2 linked regions of the Styela clava genome follow. The protein of the gene in region 1 interacts with the protein of each later gene in a biochemical or structural test. Links are inferred from orthologs where the notes say so. Each region holds a gene or a part of one and is shown in the gene's direction. Other genes may lie near its edges.

The links.
Region 2: the proteins of max dimerization protein 1-like (region 1) and protein max-like form a complex in vitro, tested with the Homo sapiens proteins (4 studies listed by BioGRID, with this or other methods). The link is inferred for Styela clava from reciprocal best matches to the Homo sapiens genes MXD1 and MAX.

What each region holds. Positions count from the first base shown.
Region 1 is NC_135257.1:12,297,630-12,305,987, forward strand, and holds the start of max dimerization protein 1-like, read left to right. Parts: upstream 1-4,826; 5' UTR 4,827-5,357; coding exon 5,358-5,481; intron 5,482-6,917; coding exon 6,918-7,008; intron 7,009-7,160; coding exon 7,161-7,190; intron 7,191-7,437; coding exon 7,438-7,552; intron 7,553-7,823; coding exon 7,824-7,992; intron 7,993-8,358. Other genes in the region: tubulin alpha chain, testis-specific-like, read left to right, coding at 1,493-1,495, 1,781-2,012, 2,086-2,190, 2,254-2,450, 2,578-3,075, 3,135-3,328, 3,502-3,634. UniProt on the Homo sapiens protein: Component of a transcriptional repressor complex together with MAX. In complex with MAX binds to the core DNA sequence 5'-CAC[GA]TG-3'. Antagonizes MYC transcriptional activity by competing with MYC for MAX binding.
Region 2 is NC_135255.1:8,056,498-8,065,621, forward strand, and holds protein max-like, read left to right. Parts: upstream 1-5,270; 5' UTR 5,271-5,471; coding exon 5,472-5,504; intron 5,505-5,915; coding exon 5,916-5,948; intron 5,949-7,152; coding exon 7,153-7,260; intron 7,261-7,580; coding exon 7,581-7,704; intron 7,705-7,933; coding exon 7,934-8,028; 3' UTR 8,029-8,244; downstream 8,245-9,124. Other genes in the region: uncharacterized protein LOC120330631, read right to left, coding at 1,005-1,148, 1,453-1,531, 1,853-1,990, 2,453-2,455. UniProt on the Homo sapiens protein: Transcription regulator. Forms a sequence-specific DNA-binding protein complex with MYC or MAD which recognizes the core sequence 5'-CAC[GA]TG-3'. The MYC:MAX complex is a transcriptional activator, whereas the MAD:MAX complex is a repressor.

The sequences.
Region 1 (8,358 bases):
AAATTTCACCATTTTTGTTTTTAATTACAGGCTGAATAGAACTTGAAAGGAAGGATAACTATGGTTCATACATGTGTTAAACGAAGTCGCTTTATAATGAATTATTAGCCTTGTGTCGTGCCCCCCCCCTTGAACTGCTTCGTGGCCCCCGGTTGAGAACCACTGTAATAGGGTATGAATGCCGTTTTTTTTTATGTCGGTACGTAAGCTATATTAGCATGTAAATTAGCTTTACATAAATTTAATACAAAAACTTACGAAAATACAACAAGGCTAGCTGCGATGCACGTTACCAATTCGCTGCCGTCGTCCATGGCGGGTTATAATAATTTCAACCAAGCTCTGCCATGATATATTCTTTGCTGCAAATTCTATGATGTCATGAGTTTCAGACACGCCCTTATTTCATATTCTTTCGTGTAGGCTACATCGATGAGGACATGCCTTCATTGTGTAGGCCTACATCAATTTCTGATTTTGAACTTGTCCGTGAAACTGAGCGACACTTCACTAGTAAATTATGAATAAGGCGTCGTTCACCTTGGAGGTTTTTCGTAGCAGCCTGAGATATTTCGAAGCCAATTGCAAACACAGCCTAAAACGATATCACACAGAAGTACTCCAAGTGTGCGATATCCGTGACGAAACAAGTGTACTGGGATTTAAGTAAAATCGTCCAGATAAATTTATACCTGCTGTGCATACTGAACATGGAGAGACAGCTATTTTATGAGTTGTTTAAACGGTTCCATTACATTTGAACCCACGACAATTGCACCTATGGAAACTTGCATCTACGGATATTTGAACCCATACTAACCCGAACCCACAACAATTGCACCTAGGTGCATACTATTGCACATATGGAAATTTGCATCTACGGATATTTGAACTTTTAGCACCCGCATATAGATTGCATTGAACCCGCGGATATACGGGTGCAAATTTACGTGGGTTCAAATGTGCCGTCACCGTTTAAACACGAAAGTCTGAACACATGCGATTAAATTTCACACAATTAAAATGCTGTTTCATACGAAACTCCATGATAGAAAACTGTTTCATCGGACCTTCTTCGAACATCTTCACCGCACCCCAAGGATTCGATCGAACACGTTTAAGAAATACTGGTGATACATAAACTCATTACTCAACTCAAAAGAGTATATCTATGTTAGCCTTGAAATTCTATTTCGATTGTGCCATAAATATATTGAACACCCCCATGTTACATCAGATACATCCGTATAAACATACTGTGTAGGATAAGTATGAAAGTTTGGCCACATTCGGAAGAAAGCCATCTGCTTGGCAGTAATCATTACTGATAAACAACATCACTATTTTGTCTGAGCACTAATCACTTGTTGTTCGCTGTCCGATATAAGAACAGTTTTGTCAAACGCATCTCCTCTTGCCACGTCGAGCGTCTAACCCCGTTCGCGGATCTGTTTAGTTTTATTTTCGTTCGTTGTTGAAAGGTTATCGGAAGATGGTGAGTATTATAGTTACTAATCGCTACTGATGCAAAAAGTCAGCTAGATGAGCGAAACATGTGGGATTTTTATGTGGGTTTATTTCACTAGCCAAAGCTGCTGAAAGGAATGTTTGAGGTGAAATAATGTACAACTAGTTTATTGATTTTTTAACTGTCTGGCGCGGGCGTGGAAGGCACGGTGGTTCGTAACACGTCGAAATTTAAAAATTCCCAAAGCCTCTTTACGACATACCATATAAGGCCATAGTTCCTATCATTGTCAGGAGTGAATTTGTATTACAGCGCGAGTGTATTTCAATTCACGTTGGACAAGCCGGAGTTCAAATTGGAAATGCATGCTGGGAGCTTTATTGTCTGGAACATGGTATAGAACCAGATGGTAACATACCAGCACGTTCTGATCCCACCAAAGAATGCAGGGCCGACGATTCGTTCAACACTTTTTTCAGCGAGACGGGGTCTGGAAAGTATGTCCCGAGAGCAGTGTTTGTGGACTTGGAACCAACTGTTGTAGGTAAAATGATAAAATATAAAAGATAACTTGATTTAAAACATACAATCCGTGTCTAATAACCTAACCATTACAGACGAAATCCGTTCCGGCAAGTATCGACAACTGTTCCATCCTGAACAACTGATTACTGGGAAGGAAGATGCAGCGAACAATTACGCGCGTGGACATTACACCATCGGTAGGTAGTCTCATCTAGAGAGTATTTTTTTTTGACGATTATTAACTTTTCGAGAATTTTTAGGCAAAGAACTGGTTGATTCCGTTTTGGATCGAATTCGAAAGCTCACTGATCAGTGCACCGGTTTACAAGGATTTCTCATTTTCCATTCGTTTGGCGGCGGAACTGGGTCAGGATTTGCCTCCTTATTGATGGAGAGACTCTCTGTAGACTACGGTAAAAAGTCGAAGCTAGAATTTGCTGTCTACCCCGCTCCCCAGGTAAGATCTATCAATGTGACAAAAGCGTTATCAGGTCGGCTTTTTTCCTGGCCTTTAATTAGTAGGCTTATTGGATTTGGGTGTTTCAAGGGGCAGTGCCCAATATAATTTTTTTATGTTTTCCAAGGTTTCGACCGCTGTTGTTGAACCATACAATTCTATTCTGACCACTCACACAACTCTGGAACATTCAGATTGCGCTTTCATGGTCGACAATGAAGCCATCTATGATATATGTCGACGTAATCTGGACATTGACCGCCCAAGCTACACCAATCTGAACAGACTGGTCGGCCAAATTGTGTCTTCTATCACTGCATCATTGAGATTTGATGGCGCACTCAACGTAGATCTGACAGAATTTCAGACTAACTTAGTGCCATATCCACGAATCCATTTTCCTCTAGTTACATACGCCCCTGTGATATCGGCTGAGAAGGCGTACCACGAACAGCTCTCAGTAGCAGAAATCACAAACGCTTGCTTTGACCATGCTAACCAGATGGTTAAATGTGATCCTCGCCATGGAAAATATATGGCTTGCTGCATGCTTTACCGAGGTGATGTTGTTCCGAAAGACGTGAATGCAGCAATAGCCAATATCAAGTCTAAACGCACGGTGCAGGTATGTCAAGTGTGTTGCGAATAAGTGGTAGCTAGATATTAATCTTTTTTATATTTTAGTTCGTCGACTGGTGTCCAACTGGCTTCAAGGTGGGCATAAACTACCAGCCTCCGACTGTCGTCCCGGGTGGCGACTTGGCAAAAGTACAGCGTGCAGTTTGCATGCTCAGCAATACGACTGCCATCGCTGACGCTTGGGCACGTCTGGATCACAAGTTCGACTTGATGTATGCAAAACGAGCATTTGTTCACTGGTAGGAAATTTATGCACGTTTGTAGGTAGGATGTAGATTTTTTCAAACACGAAGGCGGATATTTTCAATTTAGTATTTTTTCCCCGAATTTCATTCATGCAAACTTTGAAACGTCAATTCATAACCAGTTTTTAAGATTGAAATGCGATAATAAATGAAGTTTCGTTTCGAAGGTACGTCGGCGAGGGCATGGAGGAAGGAGAATTTTCAGAAGCTCGCGAAGACCTTGCTGCCCTGGAAAAAGACTATGAAGAGGTTGGTGTCGATTCTGCGGCTGACGGCAGCGCTGAAGAAGAAGAGTATTGAGCAGACTTTGAAAATATGCCTTCCAATTGCAATATAAATTGTTAGTGTCCCTATTTAACACGTTCCTGGCATATCTGCATCAGTTGTCGAGATTTTCACGCATTTTCCGAATTTTGTATAGTACCACTTTTCCCGAAACGCTTGTTCCCAGAGCGGACACTTTGATCAGAATACATGCATTTCAATCAATAGACTAAATCTTAAATGGCTTGTATGGTATTAGCTTATGAATGAAATAATTGAAGCAATAATTGTGCCTTTTTCACGCATATTTGCTTGGGAACTATTTTGAGGCGCACGTTGCAGGTGAAATCTTTCTGGAGTCGGGCCTTTGACAATGCGTTTTTTTTGGTGCTTCAATTACTCGAGTTTACGGCTTTCGTGAAATTACCCGTCCGTCATGTCGGTTATGCGCATGGGTTTGCTTTTGAGTGAGTGGTAAGTAGTCGGCGCCCCGAAGTGGGATACTTTCTCGTATCCATAATATTAGATTTTTAGAAAGGGTAGTGTGATATCCCTTTAGCAGTTCTTATTGCGTATGAATCTGGGAAATAAAATCTCGTTTCGGCCGGCTTCGCACGTTTGGAACTTCACTCATCGTTGTCACGATGGGGAAGATAAGCGTAAAGGCGGCTTTATAAATCGGAATTCACGGCATGATTGTCCAAATTCGGTTTATGATGGTAAATGACCTACTATTCGCCATCAGAAACTATCAAACAAGCCAACAGAACTTACAAAATGTTGCTACGTGGCTAAAATGCTGATTCTTGTCAGGTTAGAGGCATCGCTGTACAACGAATTGAACAAATGTGGGTTTCGCGTTGGCTTTGATGGAATTAATAGTAATCGAAAATCGTATTCTAATTGGATTCGGTTCCATTAAATCCTCAAATCATCCCATTGCGTGAAATTTTTTTGTAAGCAAACACTCCACTTATAGCGCGGAAAACGTATGCCATAAAACGGTGACCGTACATTTGAACCCATGTACATTTGAACCCATGCGTATATCCACGGGTTCAATCTATATGCGGGTGCTAAAACCCATGGGTTAGGGTTAGTATGGGTTTAACTATCCGTGAAACAAAAAAAATTCCATAGGTGCAATAGCATACAGGTGCAATTGTCATGGGTTCAAATGTACGTGGGTTCAAATGTAATGGAACCCCATAAAACACTCGGAGCGGACGGATGCCGTCTACAGAACAACAACACAGGCTGATTGGAGTCTTATATGACGTACAATCATCATACACCAGTCAGCTGATTTCGCAGAGAGGCGTGGGTGTCGCGTGTTTGTTTCTTCGTGTTGAGCGACGCGCTCCGCATTGCCGATTTTCTGTTGGAAATGGCGGACAGGGGTTTCAAAATTTAGCGATAGCGACCTTGTGCTCGCGTCTCTCTTATTCCACTATTGTTTAGCAGCGGTACCCCGCCTCTTCGATACGCGTTTAAAAGGAAAAGTAGGCGCAGGCGTGCGAGACATGTGGCCTCACTGGAGAAGAAATGCTTTGAATTTGATTGGTTACCGAGTTTTTACGTCACGATTTCTTTGTTTTTGTGTTTAGCCCAGAGGTAACAACCTGACACGACGAGGTTTAGCGGGCGACCTTAGAGCATTTATAGCAGATTTATTTTTAACGAAATATTTGATTACAATTAGTGGAATAACGTGAAACTATTTTATTAAGCAAGTAACTTAGAATATTGACTGTTAATCATGTTGCGATCAATGAATGCATCTCCGACCAGCGAAAGTGATGACGATACGAAGGGGCTGGGGTTGGAGTTATTGATTGAAGCTGCAAACTATTTAGAGAAATGTGACAGTAAAAGGCAAAGAGGTAATATACTGACAATCAATTTGTGCATATTTTCCTCAATACCATTCATTTTAAATATGTAAATCGAGAAATTACAGACCTTTATCAGATGATATTTTTCAGTTTTCTTTTTTTATTCTCATTGATTATTAGCACATTAAGTTGTTGTTGGTGATATATTCTAGTATTGCATTTTACACTTGTGTGATCAATATCAGTTATAACTATATTTCTGATAAAACTGGAAAATGTACCAGTTTATAAAAGTCACTCACACAGGTCATAAGTCAGTAAGTGCGGTCATTCTATTTTTCTGCACTCAATAAAATTCAGTTTTGATCAAATACATTATCAATATTTATAATAGGCTATATATTGGTGGTATTGTCAAGAAAAGTTGTAAAACTTTTATACACGCATTGATACAGTATTGCAACGTGCATTAGAGCGTTTTGACTATTGCAGTTGTTACAATAAATACTTTCATCAAGTTTTAAGTAACGTATCAAACTATTCCAGAAGTGTCAATTGATTCAGCAAATGTTGCTCAGTTGTTTATGGCATGATGTAATAATTCACATTACAGTACAGCACACTATACAAATCGCGTGACATTGTCCCGTTTCAGAGAAACCCATTTTACAGATGATCAGACACCCCTTCTTTGGGAGACGTCTGGACATTGTTGTCCCTCAATATCGGTAATAATGCAGTATAATGAAGTTGCGCAAAATACTACAAAGAAGCGCACTCTAGTAACGTCATCATTGAATTCCTTGGGAAAAAATAATCCGATTTACAGAAGGAAAAAAAATTCTACCGTAGCATTCGAGAGTTTTTAGCAAAAAACGGCAATTTTGGTCATGTGACGGCCTCGATTAATTTAGATTTTTATTGAAACAAGCATGGCACGATATGAAGCATCTGACGTGGTCCCAGACGCCCCTCGTTTGTGAGACACATAGAGTGTTTGTTTTATTGAGCCAAATGGAGGGAAATTCTTGGAATTTGGATAGTGTGCTGTACTTTAGGTGTAACTTTCAACTTTCTAGGTATTTCTCTGTATTCAGATCATCGCAAGGTTTTAAATATATTTAGCATATTGCATTTAATAAGTATTTCAGCATATTGCATGTTGACTAAAGATTTTGGTTAAAAAATATTTTTGTCTGAACATTGATAAACAATATCGTACCTTATATAGGGTGACTCAAAAAACAGAACCCATAAATTTCTTAATTACTTCTACGAAAATATTTTAAAATCTGAACACGTAACTTCAGTTTGTGTATGATTGTACCCAAAAGTTGTAGTAATCTACGAGGCTTTGCATAAGAATTATCTTCTCTCTCTCCTTCTCTGAGTTCTGTTTTTGGGGTCATACCATATAATGATTCATATTGTGATTGAAAAAGATTTTGATTTTGGTGACAAATATTTTTTTTTATTTCATACAGAATCAGATCATGGATATGCATCAACTTTTAAATACGGTGACGATGAACCGGCTAAAAAACGACTGAAAAGTTCAAAGAAAAGTCAAAGCAGGTATGAATATTGTGATCAAAAATCTGTTAGACTCTTGAATAATATTGAATACGGATATTTGTTCTAGTTATGAATTCAATTATCCTTTTATATCAATTTAACATTTTTGACATGGTATTTCTGAAGTACTATAATGCTCTTTTTGTTTTCAGGACATCCCATAATGAACTTGAAAAAAATAGGTGAGTGGAGTTACTTTAGCCCCATAGGCTGGATTATCATCCGACTATTTAATTAAACCAAGATTTTGTGTTGTGGTAACTTCATTCTCGACTATCCATGTACCGGTAATGAAAATTCATAAATACTGACCTAAACTGATGCATTCATTAAAATTGCTCTTCCCCACCCTGGCATGTTTCAAATATTGAGCAAAGGTTTTAATTGTTTCTGTGATATATGATTGTATTATTTTGATACACAATTTAGACGTGCCCACCTACGAAACTGCCTCGATAACCTCAAATCAATCGTTCCTCTTGGATCTGACTCAAACAGGCACACTACCTTAGGACTGTTGAAAAAAGCTACTTCATTGATTAAGGTTGGTGGAAGAAATATTTTCAATTTGGATTTTCAGAATTAATTCGTAATACTTTTTGATAGTACATATTATAAAAATGTAATTTCCTGTATTTATAGACTCTCTTGCTGTGAAATTATTCAAGTTAGATACAGACTAATTTATGCTGGGAAAACTTTCGCAAGGCTGAAGGTTGTTATGGCTTTTTGGTAGCAGTTTTGAATATGTATGGATGATCTTAAATAAAATAATTATGAAAAATTATCATTCTTTAAATTTGTTAATATTTTAGGACCTTGAGGGGAAGGAGGTTGGTTATGAGAAAGAAAAAGACAAACTCGGCAAATATAATGAACAATTAAAGCAAATTTTATTTCGGTTGGAAATAAAATTTGAAAGACTGCGTCGAGATTCAACCGGATCTACTTCACTGTCTGAGTGCTCAAACGATTCTGATAAAGGTAGGTGTATTTTTGTTACAACTTATTTAGGTTCATAGCAATGCATGCACAACTAGCAAGAAGCGAACAATATGGCAAGCCAACATTTTGAATGTATATACAGACAAACTTCATCAGAGCGATTAATTTGAATAAGCCTTTCAGCAACCGCCTGCTATATTTAGTTTTATATTATGCACTAGTATATACTCCCTCAAGTAGTTTGTAAGTAGACAGTTAATTTTATCAAAAGGTTCTGCTTCCACCATGTTTTTATGCACAACATTTTGTATTCTGCAGAAACATTTGAACATTTCAGTTAATAAGTTTTGAATATTTGGTTTCAGAATGAAACATTCAAATTTTGAAATACTTAACATAAACAGA
Region 2 (9,124 bases), on another chromosome or scaffold:
AACTATCATCGATTGACAGTTAGACGTAACAATTATCAACCTATCAGACATAGAAAAAACTTTCCAAGATAAATAACAAATTGCACGATCAGAAAACAACATAGTATAGGGCCCAGGGATGGCGAACCTTTTTCAATGAATGGGTCAAAAATTATAATTTTATCGCGGAATAGAAGAGAGTTGGTCACAGATATTTAATTCACGTTTGTATCTATAAGAAACTTCTGAAACAAATCTTATAAGCTGGTGTTGGTATAGTTTTGGGCTTTACTTATGCAGCACTTCTATCAGGCCCTTTATGGCACTCGGTTCTAATGATATTAGAGTACGAAAAAAACGCAATTACCAAAAACGTTTAGGATGATGCGTTAAATTATTTTACAGTTCTAGTGTTTGGAGGTAATTCCGCTTTGATAGTGGTAAAATTTTGGATCAGCGTCCAACCACATTAAGGCCATTGCCATTGTTATATCAGATTTATAGATTTTTCTTTCTGGAAGATTTTGTTTTCTCAGCGGCATTGTAGGCGAGAAACTAATAAAATGCAAAGAGGCATCCAGTTCTCGTATAACCCCTAAAACAGTCTGCAGATGCACTTCCGAATAAGACAAGCCTTGCGAGAAATGAACAGATCAATTGTAGTGTTATGTCATAAACGATGTCAGGCCCAATAGCTGAATAACGGTATACAACAGTGCATATATGCGTCCAAGATTAGGGGTTTTGAAAATTACCATACCGGCTCAAAAATCAACATTTTGAATTTGAGCTATCGCAGCCCTGACTGTCCAACTGACGGTACATTATAATAGTTTAGTTATTGTTAGATTAATTTAAGGCCGGTTTCATCAATTTTTATCACTGATATGTTAGCATTTATTTTATTTGTGCCTTCGCTTGGCGGGTCACAAATAAAACGCGGTGGGTCACTTTGTGACTCGCGGGTCAGTGGTTCGCCATCCCTGGACTATAGGTCAATATTATTGCTGAAATGGATGAATTACCAAGTTTAGTGAATCCACGCTGTCGAATATCGCGAGGAGGTCTGCTTTTCTGCAAATCCAAGAAAGTACAAGCTTGTAGCGATCCGTGATAAAGAGCAAACATCAACTGACTCAAGTTAAACAATGATTCAGCTTGTCTCAATGCTAAAGAACATTGATAATTAATTTTATTTTGCGTATTTTTTACTTATTTCCATCAGAACTATTCATTCAACAGGTATATAGCTTAAGCCAAGGTAGGTGTTGCCTCTTTTTCGTGAGGATTATTGTATATCCAAGCAAAGGGCTATAGTACATCAGGAGCCGCTATTTCTCTATTTTAGTTAAATGTGGGCAGTCTGTTCATTTATTTGTGTTTCCCACATCTCTGCTTATCATTTTAAAGATCCTCGCATCTAATGGAATTATTAACCGCATCTGCTGAAAAATTAAAATACTGCAAACCTACCTATGATGCAAATTTCCCCGTTGTTGCACTTTTCAATAAATTCACCATTACTCCAAAGAAATGGTCGATCGTCATTTCCCTGGAAGTATTGGGAAGACACTTTAAAAAAAACGTAGTAAATATCCTCAACGCAAGTGACGCTAGACAACCTTATTTATCGTAGTGCAAGGCCGAGCTTATTCGTGTTCGTGCAACAACCATGTTCAGCGGTAGGATTTTACTCGTAGATGCCTATAATTCGACTAAACGGCACTAGCGTTCACCTCACAGATGATGTTACAGCATTCTTACAGATGTGCGAAGTCACTTTCCTCATTTCAGATTTATAAGTTTTAAACAAAAAGCTATAAAACAATACAATATACAGAAGGATTTTTGACAAAACGAACAGCAATCTTACTTCAGTAGTTAGATTTTCAACAAGATGGTCCGAATCAAAATTATCAAGATCCAGAAAAGAATACCAATCGTTGAACTTGAATCCTATTTCTCTCAAGTGGTGTTCAATACTAGCAGTATTCATAGACACTCCTCCGACCTCAAAAATAGTATAAAGACATTACGTCACTAAAGAAAGTTACGCTTTTGAACCTCATTGATAGAAAAATATAACCAAATGGGATGAAAACTCAATACATTAAATTGTGCACCCAAATAATTGATAATAATTCTAGTCTGAAATTGTTTTTGGAACTTGACTTGGTCGAGTCTTGCAAATGACCGGATTCCATTAGCAAAAAAACAATATAATAGTTTAATAATAATGCACATTTTATATAAGCTGCATCATTTCACCTACATTGCTAAATAGTAAGACCCACTTAATTCAGCTCAAAATTATAAATAGTAAACAGTATTTGCACCTGAAATCATTCAGACAACTTCCGTAAACTTTGAAAACAGTTGGAATTTCATTGCAAAAAGGGTGAATCCATACAGAACTTTAGACAATTAAGAAGATTATTTGAAATACATAATAATATAATCAAAATCACCGTACCATTTTGCAATATAATTTGTCCCTCGATCAAGTTGCTTCGCCTGTCGCTGTTACCAGGTAAGATGCTATCCGTAATCAGCTGTTTGGGTAACATTATGACGAGTAGAAACGCAAAACATGTGTTTAGATACTTTATTGCGTCATAACGGGAAAACATGAGCTCGCCATTTAAATTCCATCATGCCCATCAGATTAACAGATAAGCGCTCTCCATTTCTTCAGGGGTTCCTCGTTACTCCATCTTTAAACCTATCAAAACGGTTCATATATTTGATTGCTTTGGTATTTACTCTTTTAGTACCGCGACCCCCAAACATAATAATTTTGATGAACTGAACTGTCTCTGCTTTCCCTCCCTTCAATGTCGAAAGAAAGTAATAAAGCATTCATCTACATTTAGCCTGTTTGGTCTCATCTTGATTTGGACATATTCTGTATATATTCACGTATCCTGACAGCGCGGAAATTTCATGCCAAGTTCTGCGTTTCATGTATGGTAGCGCCAAAAAATGAAGTCTTCTTTACTGCACGTTACGAAGAAAATAAAAAAAAAAACTGCAATACAATTCCGTATTTGCATAAATATATGTTGAATAAAATACATGCACGGATGGCTAGCAAGATTAACAGATATGCAAAAAAGTATACATCGCGTGTATTACCGAGGAAAAAAAACTTGAAAAGAAATAAAAATCTTCGATCTTTCACTTTATTAGCAAATATCAATTTCTTGAATATGAACGCAATGTTCGTATTTGCACAGGTACATATAAATGATATCAATCGAACCCGAAAGTGAAGTATTAGTTGCAAAACAAGACCATTAAAAGCAAACAAAACACGTGGGTTCAGCGCATGAGGGCCCGTTCACATATGTTCACACCATTGCGTTGACGCACCTTAAAACCTTGTTTATTTAACTTAATCGTGCGTTGCTGCGTTAACGCATTGCGTCAACGCAGTGCGTTGTTGGAAGACAATTCTTGCGGCTTGAACCAATTCCAGTTTCGACAGAAGTAAATGCACTGGTATAACACGTATAGCTTTAACTAAAACGTATTTGGCAATAATATCGCCCATATAATTTTTACAAGCCGACTAGTCCACTAGTCCAGCTCGCGGTATGATCGACATGGTTTACTATATACCAAATTAATTGCAAGAAAGCTCACGGCCTCCGGCCAACTCAGTCGGACACGTGACCCACCGAGTGACCAGCGGTAACCCATAGTGAGGCGTTGACCACCGAGTTTATACCGAGGCGCGCTTTAAACATTGTTTCTTTATTGTCCCTACCTGCTTTCACAGCGCGGAAGTTAACTGATTCGCAACCAATCAGACCGCTCCGTTACACAGAAGTGAGAGAAGTGAGGTTGTTGTGAAAATGAAATAGGAGGGCACGTGTATTAGGTGTATTAGGCGTGAGACTTCAGCGAATACCGTAGTTTTCATAAGTCGTTTGCTTTGTTTGGCTTTCCTTTAGTCTCGGTGTTGGTTCCCGTTTTATCGTCATCTTAAATTTCGCAATACATGGGAAATATCTTATATAGACAAGCTGTTGTGTTGAAGGGGTTCATATTCTAGTACCGGTACTGTAGTAAATTATTACAGCAGAATCGAACCCCTCCAAACGTCTCGGGTCTGTCGGTGAACAGGTGAAACCATTGTCTGATTGTTAGCATTCTTATTTTAATTTTAACCAACTAGGCTACTCGACTCGATTTTGAATGTATAAATAGTTCAAATTATTCTATTCCTATTGTTTATTACTGGGAAGATCTGAATAAAGGTAAAAAAACAGAATTACAGAATTGAGTTGAGAGAAAAGAGAAATTTTTCTGATATTTCGCTTTGTGTGACCAAGGTGGTTTGAATAAACTGATTCTAGTTTTTTTTGAAACGAACATCTACGGACTGAATTACCCTAACTGCTGAACTGTCATCAGAAAAATAGTTGCAAATGTCATAACATCATGCGCTTAAAAAGCGAGAATAGGGTACCAGTATATCTTTTCTGAATTCCAGAACTCAATGACATTTTAGATAGTTTTGTAGTTATTAGTATCGAACTACTTCAAGTAAAGTTTGTATGGTGTACTCCTGAATTATGTTTTCTTCAAAATAACCGACTGTGTATAGAAAAAGAGTAATAGTTGTAACGGTATATATATTTCAGTATTTATCATTGAACTGCTGGAATATTGTTGTTTGATGCAAGACTCTGTCAGTCTGTAGTGTGTTCCTAATGCAATCTTCAGATCTTGAGTGAACAAATGAGTCTCATGTATTTAGTGTATTGCAATTAGGTTTTTTGATATTACTGAAAAAACAGCAGCTACAGCTGCGTTACTGCAGTTCTAGGATTTTAGCAATCCAAAAATCTGCTTGTTCACAAATTTGTGGGAAAAGATATCAGATACCAAATTGAGTCCCTTCCACTGTAATATCTTTCAATGGTCTGTCAGCCTCTTTTTATTCAATTTGGAAACTTAGTTGTTATATTTTCCTGATTATAATATGAATTGTGTATATTATTTATTACGGATACTCTATACTGCCATAGTATGCTCTGTTGTCCATCACTTTTCATCAACAGCAATTTAAATTGTTCCATCAAAAAGTTATGCTCACTTGTTTTTGAGAATTTTGTTTCTTTTCATAATTCGTATCGTTGAACACCAGTTTTGTAATTTCGTTAAAAAGATCAATGTCATGGTCGGAGAGGAGCTGTAATAAAAAACATTATGCGGATGAATTTGACCATGGCATCTCTGTTGTGCCAAGTGCGTGTTGAAGTAACCTCGCTTTTTTTACTTATCCATATAAAAAGCTATTAATATCTTGTTTATTTGGATTGCTTTCACAAAAGCATCGATACTTAATATCATATTCTGATCCGATCATAAGCTGCATTTTAGTATTTTATTTCATGGATCTGTGGTAACAGGATTATTATTTCCATCTTTTGGCAATACCAACTAGCAAGCTGGATCACCAATACACAAAATCGTATGATGAAATGAATGATGTGGATATTGATGTTGAAAGTGAGGTAATGAGAAAGTATTTGTAATGTATGATTGACAGATTATATGCTCTGCATGATGAAATGCTTCTAATCAAACTCCTTGGGTAACAAAAAAAATAGTATCCATAAAGTTCTTGATCATTCTACAAAAATGAAGTTCTGTTTGTGTATAATTTTATCTAAAAGTTCCAGCAATCTGGATTATTTTTACACAAAAGTTGTTTTCTCTAGAATGTCTGAATGTGTTCCAAATGACCTAGGTTCTGTTTTTGGGTTACCCTGTACCGACTCACAGCAGAGTCTCAAAGCTTTCAAATGATAGAAGAATGAAATTGTGACATTAACTGTATACTTCACTTCAAACAATTTCAAAATTAAAGTTTTAAAAATATCTTTTGACTGCAAAAAATAAAACACAGCAACAATTTGTTTCAGGATGAAGATCGTGAAAGTCCAGCTATGGGAACTGTGAGTTTACAGAGATGTTTTTTGTTTGTTACGAAAGTGTGTTACAGGGTGGTTGTACTATTGACATGCAGATAAAATGAAGAGCAAATAAATGCCCCCATGCTGACATGAATCATCTCTGTTACATTTCATATGCAATGTTTGCCTAAATATGTAACTTATTTCACAATGTTCTCGCTGCCATGGTGTTTGCCCCAATATTTGCATACTTAATTTCAATTGAAGGGAAATCTGTACTCTGTATTATCAATTTTATATACAAAAAGCAGATTCAGCTTTAATAAACAACAATCTATCTAACAACAATATTATCCCTGTATGTAGATACTTTCTCTCTGTTCATTTTTTGATTTCTGTCATACAGGGTGTCCAAAAAGTTTCGCCCGATTTCATAGCAACCTCAATTGCAAATTTGAATAAATTTTGTTTTATGCTAAATGGGGACTACAAAATCCAACATTTATAACATCCAATTAGATACAGGTTGACTATAAATCATTTCTATAATTAAAAAAAAAAATGGTTATAAAAACTTTATAATAGGGCAAAACTTTTTGGACACCCTATACAAATTATTCAGAAATATTGTGTTTATGTTTAATTGACAATAAGTTGTTTTTTCTCCATGCACACTAAGAAAAGATAGATAAGAAAAGATTTACATATTTATCCCGGGGGAGAGGAAAGCTGATAAGACGGCTTAACCATATGGCGAACCACGGCCCCTCGTTCGGTTACCATTCCATGGAACCACCCAACGGCGGCGAGGAGTCCAGCAATCCTCTCGCACATAACCATCCCGCATGGGATTCGAACCTGCGAACCCACGCAGAGTAATTAGAGGTGCGGTGGCGAGCGTATTCCAAACGCTTAGCACGATGAGCCACACCGCCGCACCTTGCACACTGTTTTCAACCCTTTATTTACATTCGTCGTTTTTTATTTTGGTAGGTGAGTCAAAGTTAGCTTTGTTAATATCTCTTTCTCGACTCGCTGATGGACAATTATCCTTTTATCGATTTCGATCCTTTTATCGAATTCGATTTCCAATAGGTTTTCACAAAAATATCAATTCGTTTTGAACAGTTTTTATGAATTAGCCATAGATTTGAAAATTGTCTTTAGATAAGAGCAATAAGTTTGGTTGCCACTTTAATGTAATTCAGTGAATGTACACTATAACAAACTTTTTTTATCAATTAAGTCCAACAAAAGAGCTCATCATAATGCTTTAGAAAGAAAAAGAAGAGATCATATAAAAGAAAGTTTTAATGGACTTCGTGATTCTGTACCATCATTAGAGGGTGAAAAGGTGACTTCTAAATTGTAATCAATATTATGTGGATAATCAGTTTTAGACAAATACTTATGAGCTTTGTTACTTATCGATTTTAATCGGTAAGTATGTTGATAGGTATTTGTCTGTCTGTCTGTATGTCTGTTAGATACCAGCGATATCTCACGACCAGAAGCCTATTGATTTTGGGCGAATTATGTTGTATAATTAGCGAGTTATTAATTAATTAGTGATGGGACACAAGGTGTCACTATGGAGTAAGAGTGCTGTTTCGGGGATCCCCTAACTTTCGATCGATAAGTCTTTGGTCTCTGACCGATATTCTCGTTTTACAGTCATCAAGAGCACAAATTTTAAATAAAGCCACAGACTATATTCAACTCATGAAAAGGAAAAATGTAACTCATCAACAAGATATAGATGATTTAAAGCGGCAAAACAGGCTATTAGAGCAACAAAGTAAGTGTTGAAAATGAGTATTTCCGTTAGGCATATACCGGTATATATATTAAATTCGCTGTTGGTCTTATGCAAACTTTTAAAATGAGATCAGTTTCAATGGTTGTGGGTATCTCACTTAGAAAGGGACCGACTGTTGTTGAATTCTTAATTATTTCTTGTGAAAATTTGCAATTTCCAACACATAATATTTTTGTAAATTGCAATTGATATATTGATATGTTTTCAGTTCGAGAACTTGAAAACTCAAGTAGACAATTTGAACAAAATGGAGACACAAGTGAATTAGATTCTGATGAAAGTGCTCAACAACAATCATCATGAACTTGCCTCAACGCCCATTATAATAAACTGTGAGGTGCATTCTATCCTGATTTCTGTTCTTCTCTTCCATTGCACATTTACTTTTTAGTTCAGCTCAAATAGTTGCTGACCTGTACATCCTTTTGTACCGCTTCGCTTCATTGAATTCTAGCATACAATCCTGTATTTTTTGATCTTTTATGTATTTATATTAATAAATTTGATGTATTATTATAATTTGGGGCCCATGGTCGTTATGCTATGGGTTCGTCTTTATTAAGCAGATCATGAGGTGATTTTATAAACGCTATGTTTAGATCTGACAGACGGAGTACTTTGTGAACGAGTGCCAATTTGCCGCTTGCCAGTTTTCTTTATTCGATTTTAGCAGCAAATGAGCTTGAGAAATCAGCAGGAAATAATTGTGACATTCTTATACAGTACTGAGGGAAACGGTCTGACTTTCGTGAAATAATTTTGTCGGATTTAGGATAGGACCATCCGCACATGGGATTAAAAGTCAAACCTGCGAACCCACGCAGAGTAATCAGATGTGCGGTGGCGGGCGTATTAATAACGCTTAGCACTATGAGCCGATGAAAAACACATATCGCCTTCCTTGTGAAACGTCATTAACATAATGCATACGTTTAAATCAGGTACTATTTGAACTGGTATTATGATACCTGTTCACACCATGCCGAAAGTTTAAAGCCTGCGTTTTACATAGGTAATTCCAGAAGCTGATGAAATAAATTTTCTCGGGAAAATTGTTCTTAATTTAACGAGCTGTCGCAACAGTTGCTACAAAAATTAAAGAATGTAAACGATCTCATGGCTAGCACCAGAGGCGGCGCGTCAATAGGGCCAACCGGGGCAATGCCCCGGTTGTTTTTTCGGTATAATAAAAAATATTCGAAAAATACCTCAATATCGGTTGCACAGACTGTCTACACTAGCCATATTCTCCCGACATGGTTCATTTTTCGCTCGCAAAGCCTTCGCCGAACGTCGACGGGGCGACGCCGATTTTGCCCCGGTTGCTCATTGTATATCGTATTCTCTCTTTTATCTTCCACTCGACGCGTTTGTTTTCTGTTTCTTTTACTAAATCATC